Oreochromis niloticus: one gene and its partner. The protein of the gene in region 1 interacts with the protein of each later gene in a pairwise test. Links are inferred from orthologs where the notes say so. Each region holds a gene or a part of one and is shown on either strand. Other genes may lie near its edges.

Region 1 (7,162 bases):
TTGACTATGACTGTTCTCACCATCCATCACCTCTGCTTATCCAAGATTTTTCTTGGCCTGCCACTTCAGACCTTAACTAGAACTGTGCCTGTGGTCTTCCATTTCCTCACTATGTTCCTCACAGTGGAAAATGACAGCTGAAATCTCTGAGGTAGCTTTTTGTATCCTTCCTCTAAACCATGATGTTGAACAATCTTTGTTTTCAGGTCATTTGAGAGTTGTTTTGAGGCTCCCACGTTGCCACTCTTCAGAGAAGATTGCAAAGAGGAGAAAAACTTGCAATTGGTCACCTTAAATACCCTTTATCATGATTGGATTCACCTGTGTATGTAGGTCAAGGGTCAATGAGTTTACCAAACAAATTTTGTGTTCCAATAATTAGTGCTAAAGGCATTCAAATCAATAAAACGACAAAGGTGCCCAAATTTATGCACCTGCCTAATTTTGTTTAAGTAACTATTGCACACTTTCTGTAAATCCTATAAACTTCATTTCACTTCTCAAATATCATTGTGTTTGTCTGCTATATGATATATTTAACTGAAATTGCTGATCCAAACAACCAATGATTTATGCAGAAAAACCATGGAAATTATCAGGGGTGTCCAAACTTTTGCATACCACTGTATGATAGGGCCCTTGTAGGTCAATCTCTACTATTGAAACAGGCAGCACAGCTGAGAAACCACAGTTACTGGGGACAATGTGATGGGACTAGTAAACCAGAAAACTGTCTCTGCCCCTGTTTGGGAGTATTTTGGATGTAGTTCCAATGATAAAGATGAACCAGACCATTGTTGAACTCTTCAAGCTCCAAAAGCAGTTTATTAACCACATGGTTTTATTAAACTGCAAGTCTGCCATCATTCCTGCTCTTACTACTTAAAGTGGTATTATATTTCACTGCTGGGTGTACGGCAAAATAGTTTCTTTAATATTGTAAAGAACCTAGGATCAGTCAAAAGACAAAAGAACACAGACTTCCTTCATGCAAAACCATTCAAAAGTGGCAACTTGCCTGTTCATGCAGTATTACTATTTGAGTTCTTACTGGCCCAATATGTGAAGAAGATTCGTAAATTCAGAGCTTGAATTTTACTATTTGGATCACCAGCCCAAGTACATCAACTCATCCTGCCAGCATCTTGGAGACATTTAAGATATGAATTCTTTTCACCGCCAGCTTTAACAGTTACTGAGCATGGTTGAGGGTAAACTAGCCTGAACTGTTGAGAGTGAAAAGCAAGCCATCCGTCACTGAAGCATTACCAGACTGCATTACATTCAAACAAAACTCTCCCTGATGATTAGATTACCTGCCAAGCACAGATGGCAACTGATAACAGGCCGTGTTCAATAGCTAACCTAACAAAATATACCACTACCCTGAGGTATGAAATTTTAAATTGTTATATAGCACTTCTTAAATGTGACTTTCTACAGCAATGCTAAATAATGGTAAAGCTGGTCACCTTGGCCTTGAATAGGTTTGCAACTAACAGATCTAGGTAAATGGACAAACTTTCTACAAATATGTTGCATTCAGGCTAGCTAATTAGTTAACACTTTAATACTTCTTCAGTTATTTTCGGACAAATATGTCACAAATTAACCTCTACTATTAACTAAAAATATAATTAGTTTATCTTAATATATTACAAAAATACAGAAGCGGATAAAGTATTCAGATTCTTTAAGTAAAAGGACAAATTTAATAGTTCTGTGCTTGTAAATGTAAGCATAAACCAAAAAACAGTTTACAAAAAACATACAATTACTCAATGCAGACTATATATCTTTTTTATTAATTTTAAGGGTGTTTTTAATTGCTTTTTGCATTAGCTGACTGTTCAGTTCAAAAACTGACATTCAACTACAACTTTTGAACATGACAGCTGGAACCAGCAAATGTTTGGAACCAGCTGTTTGACTAGTCAAATAATTGTTTTGGCTCTGGATACAATAGTTCCTAATAACTAATCAATGCACAACTTATGTGACACAGCTGATAAACACTGACCGATAGGACAACACCAATGTTTGCCTCACATATCAGGACATCTCTAGTTAACAAAACAACACCAAAGTCTTCATATGTTTTGTGTAAAGAAAACTCGTCCATTAGAAAAGCTGTCAGATAAATGTAGTGAAGTGAAACGTGCCATTTCCCTCTGAATTGTTGTGGAATATCAATAGAAAGGAAACACTGGAAGACCTCACATCTGTACTTATGTACAGTATTTACAGTATTATAGGGAGTTATAACCAGCCTAGTAATAACGTACCATGTCTAATGATATTAGGTGACAGAAAGCACTGTGACCCGGGTGGTCCGCTCCTACACAAACACAAACACCATTACTGACAACTGTTACTGCTGTGTTAGCTAACTGGTTGTATGCACAGAGTGCAGTTTTTAAATCTCCATTTTTAGCTGTTAGCACTTTATTATCATTATTATTATTATTATTATTATCATTATTATTATAACGACCGACAGTACACAATAGCTTCATACCCACCTATACTACATATACATCACAGCAGCTAGCGTGATTCCTGTCAGTTTAGCTACAAAGCTAACGTCGTACAAGATTAACCTTCTTCCCACGTGAACTTAAACGGGGACTACAGGCTTGTTTACTCGCTGTAGGTCACTTCCAGGGAAAACACAACCTGGCTTAATGTTACCAATGACACGAACATCTGCCCAGCGTTAAAAGGCTATACAGCAGTGAGAGGGGGGCTAGCGCTAGCACCTTTAGCATCGTTAGCTGGCTGCCACCCCCCCACCGGTGGTTTTGCAGGGGGCATCGGGTTTTCCAAAAAAAGAAAGAAAGGGGAAAACACAAAGCCACCGGCACGCAGAGCGAGGTGACGCCTTTACTTTGCTTTCATGTGTTCGTCCGAAGGCGTGAACCCAAGTGACCATACCTCAGGATGGAGAATAGGGACGCAGCCAGCTTCTTTCTCATATTCCTCCATAGCGTCGGCCATCTTGGTGGTGATGCTCGCTGAGCATTGTGGGAAACAGGAGGCAGTGCAGGGGGGAACGGTCGAGGAGGAGGAGGAAGAGAAGAGAGGGTCTGTCAGAAACATTGGTGATGTACAGGTCACAGCACATAATAGAAACGATGTCTACAGTTGTATAGCAAAAATATATTTACTATGATTTATTATGTTTCCTATAAAATTATTCGGGTTTTTTTTGTGTGTTAGTACCCCGTTCTGGGGGTAGGAAGTATAATATACTAAAGATGATGGTTTGTTTTTCATCCATCCATCCTCTCATCTTTTTCAGGGTTGCTGGAAAAACCAGCAGCAGTACCTGCAGCAGAGTAGCACGTTACTGACCCTGCCACATTTATTTTAATGTTTTAGTTACTATTTTTTCTGAGATAGATTTACAATGTAATATATATATTTGTATAGCAGGATAAAAATTTATTAAATTGGATTGTTTGTGGGCCACTAAAAGTATACAAACAGCCAGTAAAATGTCTAATGTACTGGCCTGGTGACCCATCAGGGGGGAAAAGGATGTTAAACAGTGTTGACACTGCAGTCTTTTTACTTTTATGTGGTTTCTTTTTACATAACAGTAACATTTGAACTTACTGTTAACTGTTTTCAACTGTACCATTCACCTGGCATAGGTGTTTTTGATCCCCAGGTTGCTGTAATGCTTGCAAATGACGGAGACGTTTCCTTAGCATGTGGGACATCTATTCAATTTCAATTCAATTCAGTTTTATTTATATAGCGCCAAATCACAACAACAGTCGTTTCAAGGTGCTTTATATTGTACAGTACATCTGGCTGCTCTTCCTTTTGATCAGCAGTGGAACAGTGCATGGAGGAACATGATGAGCACTCCCAGAGTGACCTCTACAAAATGACCTCCAGCAAGTCACTGGTGTGAATGTCTCTGAACAAACCATCAGAAACAGACTTCATGAGGGTGGCCTGAGGCCCAGTGACCTTTAGTGGGCTGCATGCTCACCAGGCAGTCAGACTGATGTTTGCTATAGAATACTGGCAGTCCAACGCTGGCGCCCAGTGCTCTGATGTGTTTTCAAAGTGTTACTTTCATTTTTTTGAGCAGTGTATATTGAAGTGAAAGTGATCTTTTCAAATTTGAAAACAGGTTTTAGGATATACAGTCTTTATTTTTGGCATCTGTAATGAGACACTGGTGTAAATAAGCCATCCTCCTGAAAGGTGAGTTCAAATACAAGGAACTCCTTGGGGTTTTCCTTCAATATCTGATTTTGCAGACTCAGCTAATTAAATAGAAAACTCTTTCTAGTTCCCCTTACTTGATTTGCAGTTTGAGTAGTTTGGTTTTTGCCATTACAATATTACCAAAAATGTAACATCTTATTAGTTTTGAATCAGATCTAAAATCTGAGCAACCGTATGAGTTAAGTATGTATATCCACCCAGCTGGTATACTTACAGTATCTCATGAGCATTGTAGTTTTCAGCATTTTTATAACATAACAGTAGTATAAAGAGAGAGAGACAGTTATTTATTAATTTAATTTTTTAATTAATCCTTTACTTAACCTAGTAAAAATGTCACTGAGATTAAAAATCTAATTTCCGAGAGAGACCTGGTATCATGGCAGCAAAAGTTGATTTATTAGGAATACATGATTCCTAATAAATCGAGATAAAACTACAGTTTTTCCGGGTTGTAAATGGTCCAGTACTATTTGGTTTAGGGGAAAAATCCATGATGACAGAACTGACTGATGGTTGAATTTTTATGTGAAACCATCGATGACACTACCGTTATACCGCTTTACCCCTGTAGATGTTGTCACATCATGTGCATCTTTACCGAACCCAAAACTCCAACCACCACTAGATGTCACCGCACACCCAGGCATGGATACTTGCAGTTCCTCAATTTCAGCAGCTGCAGTAATCATTGTAGTTATTACTGGAGGCAGAAAAATGATCAGCTACATTAAAAATAAGATCGACCAAAAACAGACAGGGGTGCTCATGGTAGTTGTGACTCACGAAAACCCGGCAGAGGTAAAGTGATGTAATCGATCACAATTAATTCATGTACACGTCTCCTTAGCAAATTTAATCTCAGCAAAAAAAGCATTACTATATAAGAAAAACCTGACGGGTTATATATACGAATTCCAATAAGTAGTGTTACCAGATGCACGTGTAACTGTCAGCTGTTTGAAAGTGCACCAAAGCGATTACACGTTTGACACGTTTGCAAGGGAAAATCAGACGTTACCCGAGCAGGAGGGAAATTTCGAGCTGACGGGTCAAGTTATCCAGTAACAACCCGTACACGGGATATTAGCTGTTGGCTCTTCAAAATAAAGTCCCAAAGAGACTCAGGGCAACTGTAAAATGACCAGCTCTTGATAAAATAAACTATTACTATTTTATAAAAAGATGATTCCATTTTATTCACATATAAAACATTATAGGACGTAGTCTAGAGGGCGCTTTAGAAAGAAAAACAGGACAAATACGATAAAGACAAGACATAAACTTTTATTGATGTGAAAATTAAAAAATTGAAACAAAGCGCACACTGAAGTATGTATTTTTAAACAGATGTTTGTAAATTGTAATGCAATTTAGTTTTCATGAATTAAATCAAACAGACAGGACACCCAAAACTGTCTTATTTGGATAATTTTGACTGAAATACATAATACATAAATACACAACGCGGACGTCTTAAATGTTTTTTTAATACCCTTTAGTTTGAATTCCGCGTCCGGAAGTCGTGCATTTTCCGGTTACGTTACTTCATTTGCCACAAAAACAGTCCTGATAGAATCGTGCAGGCACGCTGGTGGCTAACAAATAGACCGAGGAATGCTGGTAAATAAATATTAGAAAGCGTATTATCATTTTCAAAGTTGATTTTTAACATTTCAGACATTAAAACTGGACCTACGTGAAGCCGGCGGGCTGAGGAAACCGCGAGTCATCACTCGTTGACGCTGCCCAAAGACGAGTACCACCCGTAAACATTAACACATCTAAAGCTAACTGTTAGCAGACCGACACACGCCCCGGTGGACTGCTTTTAAATATTTACAGGCAGCTTTTTCCTTTCGTGGCACAGCACAACAGGAGATCTCCGGTGGAGCAAAGGTAAGCTCAAACAAGCAAAGAAAAACACCGAAATGAAAGCTAACCCTACCGCCTGCTGTTGATTACAGGCGGCTAGCCTAATGGCTAATTGTGTGTGAGGCTGAGTGACAGCCGTGACTGCAGACGGGTAGTGCGTATTATTGTGTAATAAATCAGGATTAGAGGTAAGGACCGTAGCAGCTCCCGCATCTTCATGCTCTGTACTTGTGACCCCGGCATCTGTCCCAAGTCAAACTCCACATTTAGCCTGTTGGTGCTAGTTAATTCAACGCGAATGCACCCCAGGGCAACGCGCTGAGTGATGAGGCAGGCTAAATTTGGATTTCCTGCAGCCCGCTGTATCCGGGTGATGTATGGGAGAAGCTGTGGATTATAAACCACACCAGGCTTTGCCACTTCAGCGGGTCTAGTGCTGATAATGTTGTTGCTTTTCTAACCCCCACCCCACTCCACCCCACCCATGCTGCCTTTCAGTCATATCTCGCTGCCTGTGTTGGATGTCTGCAGCTCTATTTCCACTTTCACTTGACAGGAGACAAGCGCTGAAACAGGAGAATCATAGGGCAGCAGCAGCTCTTGCTAACTGTGTCAGACAAGCAGTACATCCGGTGGGTCCTGGCGTGGTGTCTGATATCTGATATTACCATGTCATGTTGTCCACCTGCGATTTAACAAAGTGTTTTCTCTGTCATACTCCTTTTGAGTATTTATTTTTAATAGCTGCAAGCTAATTCCACATTTAAAGACTTTGTAGTCTTATTTTTCTTGCTACTCAAAATATGCAGTGAGAAGTGTGAAGTTATGTTGGGAACTAAATCTTGGGACCAGACTTGGCATCTGGCACTCATAAATTTATATTTGCAATATTTCCATATTTCCGTCCTGTGCCAGTGTGCATGTAAAGAAGGGCAATCCCACACTTTCCATGGCAAACGTTTATTGAGGTGTGCAATCCAAGGTCACGGGAGTAACCAGCTCATTTGCCAGTCAAAAGGAGTTTCCACTGAGACCTTTTTTG
Region 2 (7,249 bases), on another chromosome or scaffold:
CTTACAAGGACTCACAATTTGTTATTTTGCGAGACACTCATCTAAAATGAGTCTTTACAACAAGTCGTCAAACAACGCCCAGACTCCAATGGGGACTGAGACACACGAGGTGAAATTAATACCAGCTATGCAATGCTGGTAATGAATTGATGCTGTGAGGTCATGCTGCTGAACATGAAGAATCCTGCCCCTGGTACAAGTCCTACCACAGACCCTTGCTGCAGCGCTCATGCTTCCTGTCATCGATCTGGCGTGTAACAAGGCTTAAAATGGCTGAAACTTCAGTTTCTCAAATTATGACTCTTTTGGTTGGCCATTTTAGTTTGCGTACTATATGCATGGGGAAAATTCACTATATTGAGGTATCTGTTTAACACCCCCCCCAAAACAATAAAAACAATAAAGCTTGCAGACAAATTCAACTACAGCTTTGTTAACTTCGTTAAACTCAATGTATGAATGCAGGCGGCAAGAAAATTAAACACTCGTTTAGAAAATTACACAATTATTGATGAGATTATAAAATTGTACATTTTATAATATCTCGGTTATCATTAATACACTGCTTTTGTGACACCCCTAATCTGGTTTGGAACCTTATTCAGATATAAGCTTTATGATTAGTAACGAACCGACTGTTCCAGGTAAATCGTGATCTTAAAAAATATATTTATATTAAAAACATACATTCCCCCCCTCCTCTTCTGATGAACATGAAGAAAAATTTCAGGCTATCTTTCATCACAGCAGCTTTGTCGCTTATGTCAGTCAAAAGGCTGATAAAATTAGGCCTATTATAAGTGCATCACTAATCTGTCAGATTGAGCTTCGGGGCATGGCGATGTGCAATTTCTACCTTTAACCTTTATTTTAGAAAGCAAAATGTTAAAATAACCAGATTATAGCAGCATCAATACATCAATTAATGCTATGACGGTTGTTTACCTTATACTCAGAAAAGCCAATCGGTTGCTTGGTTGTCAACTGTCAGATCTGAAATAGTCGTTCTATCAGAAGATGTTAGAAGACATCGCCACTGGCTGAGGAAAAGTAAGATAGGTTTCACTTTTTTAACCTTCCAATAACCAACACGATCAGCCAACAGTCAGAATATTGTCTGACACAGCAAAAACGTCAAAGGTAAATTACGTGTCAAATGCCATGTTTCACTTTTTCTACGCCCGTCTCTCACAGGGTCAACATTTCCATCGTTAGAGGTTGCATACGCTGATGATCAAAGTTCATTTCTTTTTTAAACACTGAAGACTGATGTGGGTCAAACTGATAACTGAAACGAGGAGTTGAAGCGCATATAAGAGGAGAAGGAACCAACTTCATTTCTGTTAAACCAAAAAAGGAAAAAACAAAAACAAAGTAAAGAGCCCCAAGTGTCTAATAAGAGTTTAAAATGAAGCAAAACGATACAAGAGTTCCGACTTCCCAGCTACTGGATACTCACCCCAGATCAGCCATAGTTTCCCTTTGAGTGTGAGTATTAACAAAAGTGCTCTGTACACTGGCTCATTTTCACCACCGCCTCACACTAAAGTGAGAGGGTGGTGAAAACAAACGAAAAAAAAAAAGGTCTTGATTCTTGTGCTCGTGCTAATTACCTTTTAAATGCAATCTTTTTCAAGAGGTGGAGGGACCAAGGCCACCCCTCCTTTCAGTTACAATACAGGAACGGCTTTTGTTTGTTCCTGTGGCAAGTGGCAAATGGCCTGCAGCAAACTTCCCCATTCGAGCACATTTTTACATTGTTAGACAGCTGAAAAGATGATGAGTGACAAGATTTGAAGAAGAAGAAGTTTGGAGCAAAGAAAGAGGCCATATTAAGTGGGAGTGCACTCAGAGGGTTTGTGTGTGGTGGGACATCTTTGGGAACTTCTTGGGTTCTTTTGGTTTTATAAGCCTGGTTAAAACAGACGCCTCCACACAGGAGTCTGTGACAGTGGGAGAGAAGCTGGAGCTCTGTGACAGGATCGAGCTTCCTAAACCTAAACAGAGCATCAGCCAAAAATAAAAAAAAAAATTGAATGCTGAGTAAAACCAGAAAGCCCGATGACTCGCGCGGGTTCTGATACGCAACCGATAAGCGCGTTTCCACTGTGTGCATGAGATTTATAATGCAAACATGCAAGCGTGCGGCACGGAAAACACGTTTAAAAGAAAGAAACGCTAAGCGGACAGCTCGCAGCAGCGGACGGAAACAGTGCAGGCTGTGTGAGTGCACGTATGAGCAAACACGTGCCAACTTGGACACTGCTACTTCCTAATAACCAGACACCAGCGGTCAGGTGAACAATTAAGCTAAATGAGTCATTAGTCAGAGCGAAGGCGGTGGCTAATTTTAGAAGTTAAAAGGGAAAAAGGGACCTTATAAACTTAAGAGGGGGAGGATGACTAAGATAATGAGCTCAAAACTAAGCCAGCAGCTATGTTAAAACCATAACAGTGCACGTATGACCCAAGTGCAACCTAAAGGACGGGAGAGACAAAAACACTGCTAAGAAAAGTGTGAGGGGGAACAAAGTTTGTTAGTCCACAGCTTCAACAAAGAGCATGCGTACTGTTAAAAAAGAGAAAAAAGGATAAGAACTACACAGGTCACACTTACCGTGCTCGCGACGAGACCCCCGTTTAGGTGAAACAAATCCAAGTTGAGGGGGCGAGTATTCCCTGCGGCAACACTTCAGTCGGGAAAACCGTCGGTAAAATCCATTGAGAAAGCTTCCAGCCGGAGCGCTCCTTCGGGAGAAGCGGCGCTAAGATGTAAATCCCATGTTTTTGCGCAACAGCACGAGGCGTTAAAGCACGCGAAAACTTCAAACAGCCGCCGCACGATAAAGTTTATTAGCAAACTTAAAAAGGGAAAGAAGAAGAAGACGAGAACTAGAGAAGAGAAGCAGGCGACAAACCTCACATTTACAGGTAGTTTTCACTCCGTGTGTTTTATCCGCGACGCTCAGAACGTCTTGCAAGTACTTTTTTTTTTCTCGCGTGTGAGTGTGATTTTTTTTTTCTCTCTCTCTTTCCGGAGAGGTCGGGATTTGCGCTGTATGTGGCGTCAACCTGAAAGGGGGGGGGACAGAGCGCTTGTTGTGACAGCGGATATATCGCATCCGGTGCTCAGCCATTGAATGCCAGAAAGTAGCCATTCACACCGAGTCTGATCAAGCCGATCAACCTCTTTGGAAATATGTGTGCTTGGGCCCGTAAAGTCTTCAGTTTCTTACAGCTGACACATTTTTTTTATTATTATTTTTTAAATAAAAGAAGCACGTTACAGAGCAGTCCCCTGAAAATAATGTGTCATATGCTTACCATGTGAGGGGGTTTATAGGTTGCAAATAAACAAAATGTCGGTACATTTGATTCGTTTTTAGCTAACTTTACAGGGTACATGGGCAGCACAGTATTAGTATTTTCTACTTAATGCAGTTTGTGTACTTTGTGAAAGTGAAAAAATGTAACGGTTACATTACATTATGAGAGAAGGTGGGTAATTGAGCACATCTTGTGAAGTACAGTATAACTGCTAGGTAGTGGTTTTGTACATTTGTGTAACATTATGTTGCTGAATATTGAATTAACCTATATTAGGATTTATCACCCTTTTTCAAGTGCAAATTATGGCCTCAGAGTTAAAATTTGTCAGTATTGATTTTGTCCAATAAGATAAAGTTATCCCTCTTCAGTTATTATTTTTGCTTGAAAATGAGATTGTCAAGCATACCAACACTAAAACCTGCTGTAAATGTTGCAATAAGACAGAGTTTGTAGTTGTAAGCATCTTGCCGCCCTGCTTTTACTCGTGTGATTGAGCCGTTAACTTGCTCAGGGTTAGGAGCTTGGGTTGTCGAGCTAAGTGTGTCCAGTGTTCGACGGTTTTTCAGTTGAGGCAGTTAAATGTAAGTCTGCTTCACTGACATGGTCTCAGGGTGGCGGTGTGCAAAAATGACCTCTCTTGTGTGTAGTATTCCCACAATATTTAGATTTTATTTTAGAAAATCTTGATATTTGGTGTTCCTGTACAACATTGCCATGTAAAATATCATGATACTATGCTGTATCGATTTCCCCCCCCTACCCTTCCTGCTGAGGTAGCCTTTTTATACTGCTGTCTTTTTTGTGCTACTTCTCAGTGTTTATGTAACAGCTAAATTCTTTTTATACATGATTACATTTTCAAAATTTGACTATAATATAACAATAAAAACATATAATATATAGAGTACATTTACTCAAGTACAGCACAAGTTCACTTCAATTCCACTTCCTTTCTCAGGGAGACTGTGTACTCTTTAATTCCACTGTAAAAAGCTAACAACTACGGTTAGATGCAAAACTGTTATACAGCCTGCAAATTGTGACTGTTTATAAAGGATGGTGTGGCTTTATTTATCAAAGTGCTTGCTAGTAATTGACAGGGATGCTTTTGTAATTTTACTTTGAAACACAACATCACTTCTTTTCCCCTTTTTCACACTCCCAAGTCCTTAATGGAAAACTACTGTCTCCCTCTAAAATCAAGGTAAGCTGAAGACAAACTGTGAGATGCAGTGCCAGATGGAGTAGTTTCACATACTCATATTGACTTTCCTTTGACATACAGGGCACTGAGTTAATCTTACTGAACACCTCAGGATACTTTTCTTATTTCACACCTTTTTAAGCTCTACTACCAGGCTGCTATGGATTTAAATCCAAAAGCAATCAATGAGAATTGATACAACTAATTAGCAAGTCAATACTGTAGTTACCCCAGAGCTGTTGTGAATAATTATGAAGTGGCGCCACTGTGTGGCCATCTCCATATACTACAGGCTACAATCAATAGCATGTGGATTTTCTAATATAATAATAGATTTAAACTAGCTTCAAAATCAGTCACATTCCTTTCCATGACTATGATAAACACATGGGCACCAATAAAGAAAAGCAGAATGGCATAAAGATGAAAATGGGATGCAGATCAGTGAGTCTGGATTTAGATTCAAGGATGAAAGACTGAATGGGTTTTATTTAGTAGTTGAGTCATACACTTATATCATCTTACAAAAAGGCCCGGACAGGCTGTTACCCGCCTTGTGTCCCTGCAAAATAATAAAAAGAGCAATTAGCTTGTGTTCAGTGAGCCTGAACTCAAGCAGAAGAGATTCAGTGAAAACAATGGACTTGGACATCTCCATTCCCCCGTTTTCCTCTAATTTAGTAATAGAGTGTCTGATCAATTTCAGACAGAATAATTATGAAGTTGTGAGAAGCACACTGCTGAGAGAGGTCACTTTAATCAGCTCAGTGTATGACTTGGCAAATTAACTTGGATCAGGGTCAGCAGGCTCTCAAGACTTCCCACTTTCTTTCTACAATTTGTCTTCCTTTGTTCCTCCCTGGCTGCTCTTCATTTACCCTTAAAGCTTTGTTGTTCTTGATAACATGTTACATGTTTCCAGCAGCACACACAGAATGAGCCAAGGCACAATCAAAGACTTGCAAAATAATTCTGTTTATTTAGGTGCTACATATGTAATGTCCCCCTTTTTGGTAATAAGCACTTTACTTTGCTTACATTTGATAATTTAGACACATTCTGTTGTTGTTTTTTAACTATCAAACATCACATTTTAAGCTCTGTTAAGCTCTGAAACAACCAGATCTGTTTTTTCCACTATGTCTGGTCAGACTTGATTTTTGTCCTTTTGACTATAACCTAATCCTATTAGAGAATTGTGTGATTATTATTGTTATTATTATTAATTTCATCATTATTTTGTTGTAATTAGTGTGTGAATTCTTGTGTTACGGCCGAAAGTGTGTTTGTTAGGTCATAGTGGCCTTTGAAACAGTCTACTCAGCTAATTCTTGATGTTTGTGGCAGATTGTTATTATGAGTTGTGCAGTTGTGTCAGTTTTGGTAGGCATTTGCTTACGGAGAAGGGTTATCAACCTACGCAAACATGCTCCCATGCAGTTCTTCCTAAAGCTCAACAGCACTTAGTTTGTCTGTATAATGGCCTGAAAAAGTATTTGCTCATCTTTGATTTCTTTTTTTTTCTTTCTTTCTTTCTTTTTTTTTTTCTTTTACATATTTCTCACCTTTAAATGTTTCACCTCATCAAACAACTTTTAATATTGGACAAAGTTAACCTGAGTAAATATAAAAATGCCGTTTTCAAATGATGGGGAAAAGTCTCTGCCAACCTGCGTGGCCCTATGTGAAACTGTGAAACTGGTTTTGCCACCCTTGACAGCAAGAACTGCAATTAAGCATTTTTGATAACTGGTAAATGGTAAATGCACTGGTTCTTTCATAAAGCTTTTCTGCTCTACCTGAGCACTCAAAGCACTTTATAAAACGTACCTCATTCGCCCATTTCTTTAGCTCATGTCACCCATTCACACAAGCATTTTTTTCTATGCTTTTCTAAGTACGTTCTGTCTAACATTCACACACATTCATACTCTGATGGAAGCAATGGAGAGCAACAGTCAACAGATTTTTTTCCCTAAAATCACTTTTGTTTCGTTTCGATCAAGAGTGGTTTTCGCCTTTGAACTTTCCTATAGAGGCTGTTTTTGCCCAGTCTCTTTCTTATTGTTGAGTCATGAACACTGACCTCAACTGAGCCAAGTGAGGCCTGCAGTTTGTTACATGTTGTTCTAGGTTCTTTTGTGATGTCTTGGTTGAGTTGTTGATGCACTCTTGGGATTTATTTGATAGGCTGGCCACTTCTGTGAAGGTTTACCATTGTTTCAAGTTTGATCCACTTGTGGATAACGGCTCTCAACATGGTTTGTTGGAGTAGCAAAGCCTTAGAAATGTCTTTGTAACTCTTTCCTGACTGATAGATGTCAGTGACTTTGTTTCTTGTCTGTTTCTTGAGTTGTGTTGCTGGTGATCTGGTGGAAGTTAAGAGGTTAAGCTATTCAAGTTTTGGCCAAACCTGCATTGAGAACTACAGATTTCAAGGTCAGGAAATGCATACCAAAACTACTCCAAAAAACAAAAGCACAATTTCTGCCATCTTTTGTTTATTGTTTTGTTTTCAATATGAGCTAAATTATTTAATGAATGGGTAACGCACATAATACACAGTCTTAATTAAGAGCAAAGTTACCATCTTCCATCCGTTATGGCCTATCTCCTGCCTTTATTTGGGACTATAGGCCACATGAAGATGTTAGTCTAATCATGGAAACTGTAATAGACCTACAACTCTCCTTGAAAAGTCTGAAGATTTGCTGG

What was found. The genes of interacting proteins can lie anywhere in the genome.
Region 2: the proteins of zdhhc17 (region 1) and spry2 interact in binary tests that used the Homo sapiens proteins (3 or more experiments, as listed by UniProt). The link is inferred for Oreochromis niloticus from reciprocal best matches to the Homo sapiens genes ZDHHC17 and SPRY2.

What each region holds. Positions count from the first base shown.
Region 1 is NC_031981.2:35,670,958-35,678,119, reverse strand, and holds the start of zdhhc17 (palmitoyltransferase ZDHHC17), read right to left. Parts: upstream 3,015-7,162; 5' UTR 2,998-3,014; coding exon 2,935-2,997; intron 1-2,934. UniProt on the Homo sapiens protein: Palmitoyltransferase that catalyzes the addition of palmitate onto various protein substrates and is involved in a variety of cellular processes.
Region 2 is NC_031986.2:7,826,038-7,833,286, forward strand, and holds the start of spry2 (protein sprouty homolog 2), read right to left. Parts: upstream 3,091-7,249; 5' UTR 2,618-3,090; intron 1,608-2,617; exon of another isoform or gene 1,460-1,607; intron 1,423-1,459; exon of another isoform or gene 1,150-1,422; intron 1,041-1,149; 5' UTR 946-1,040; intron 1-945.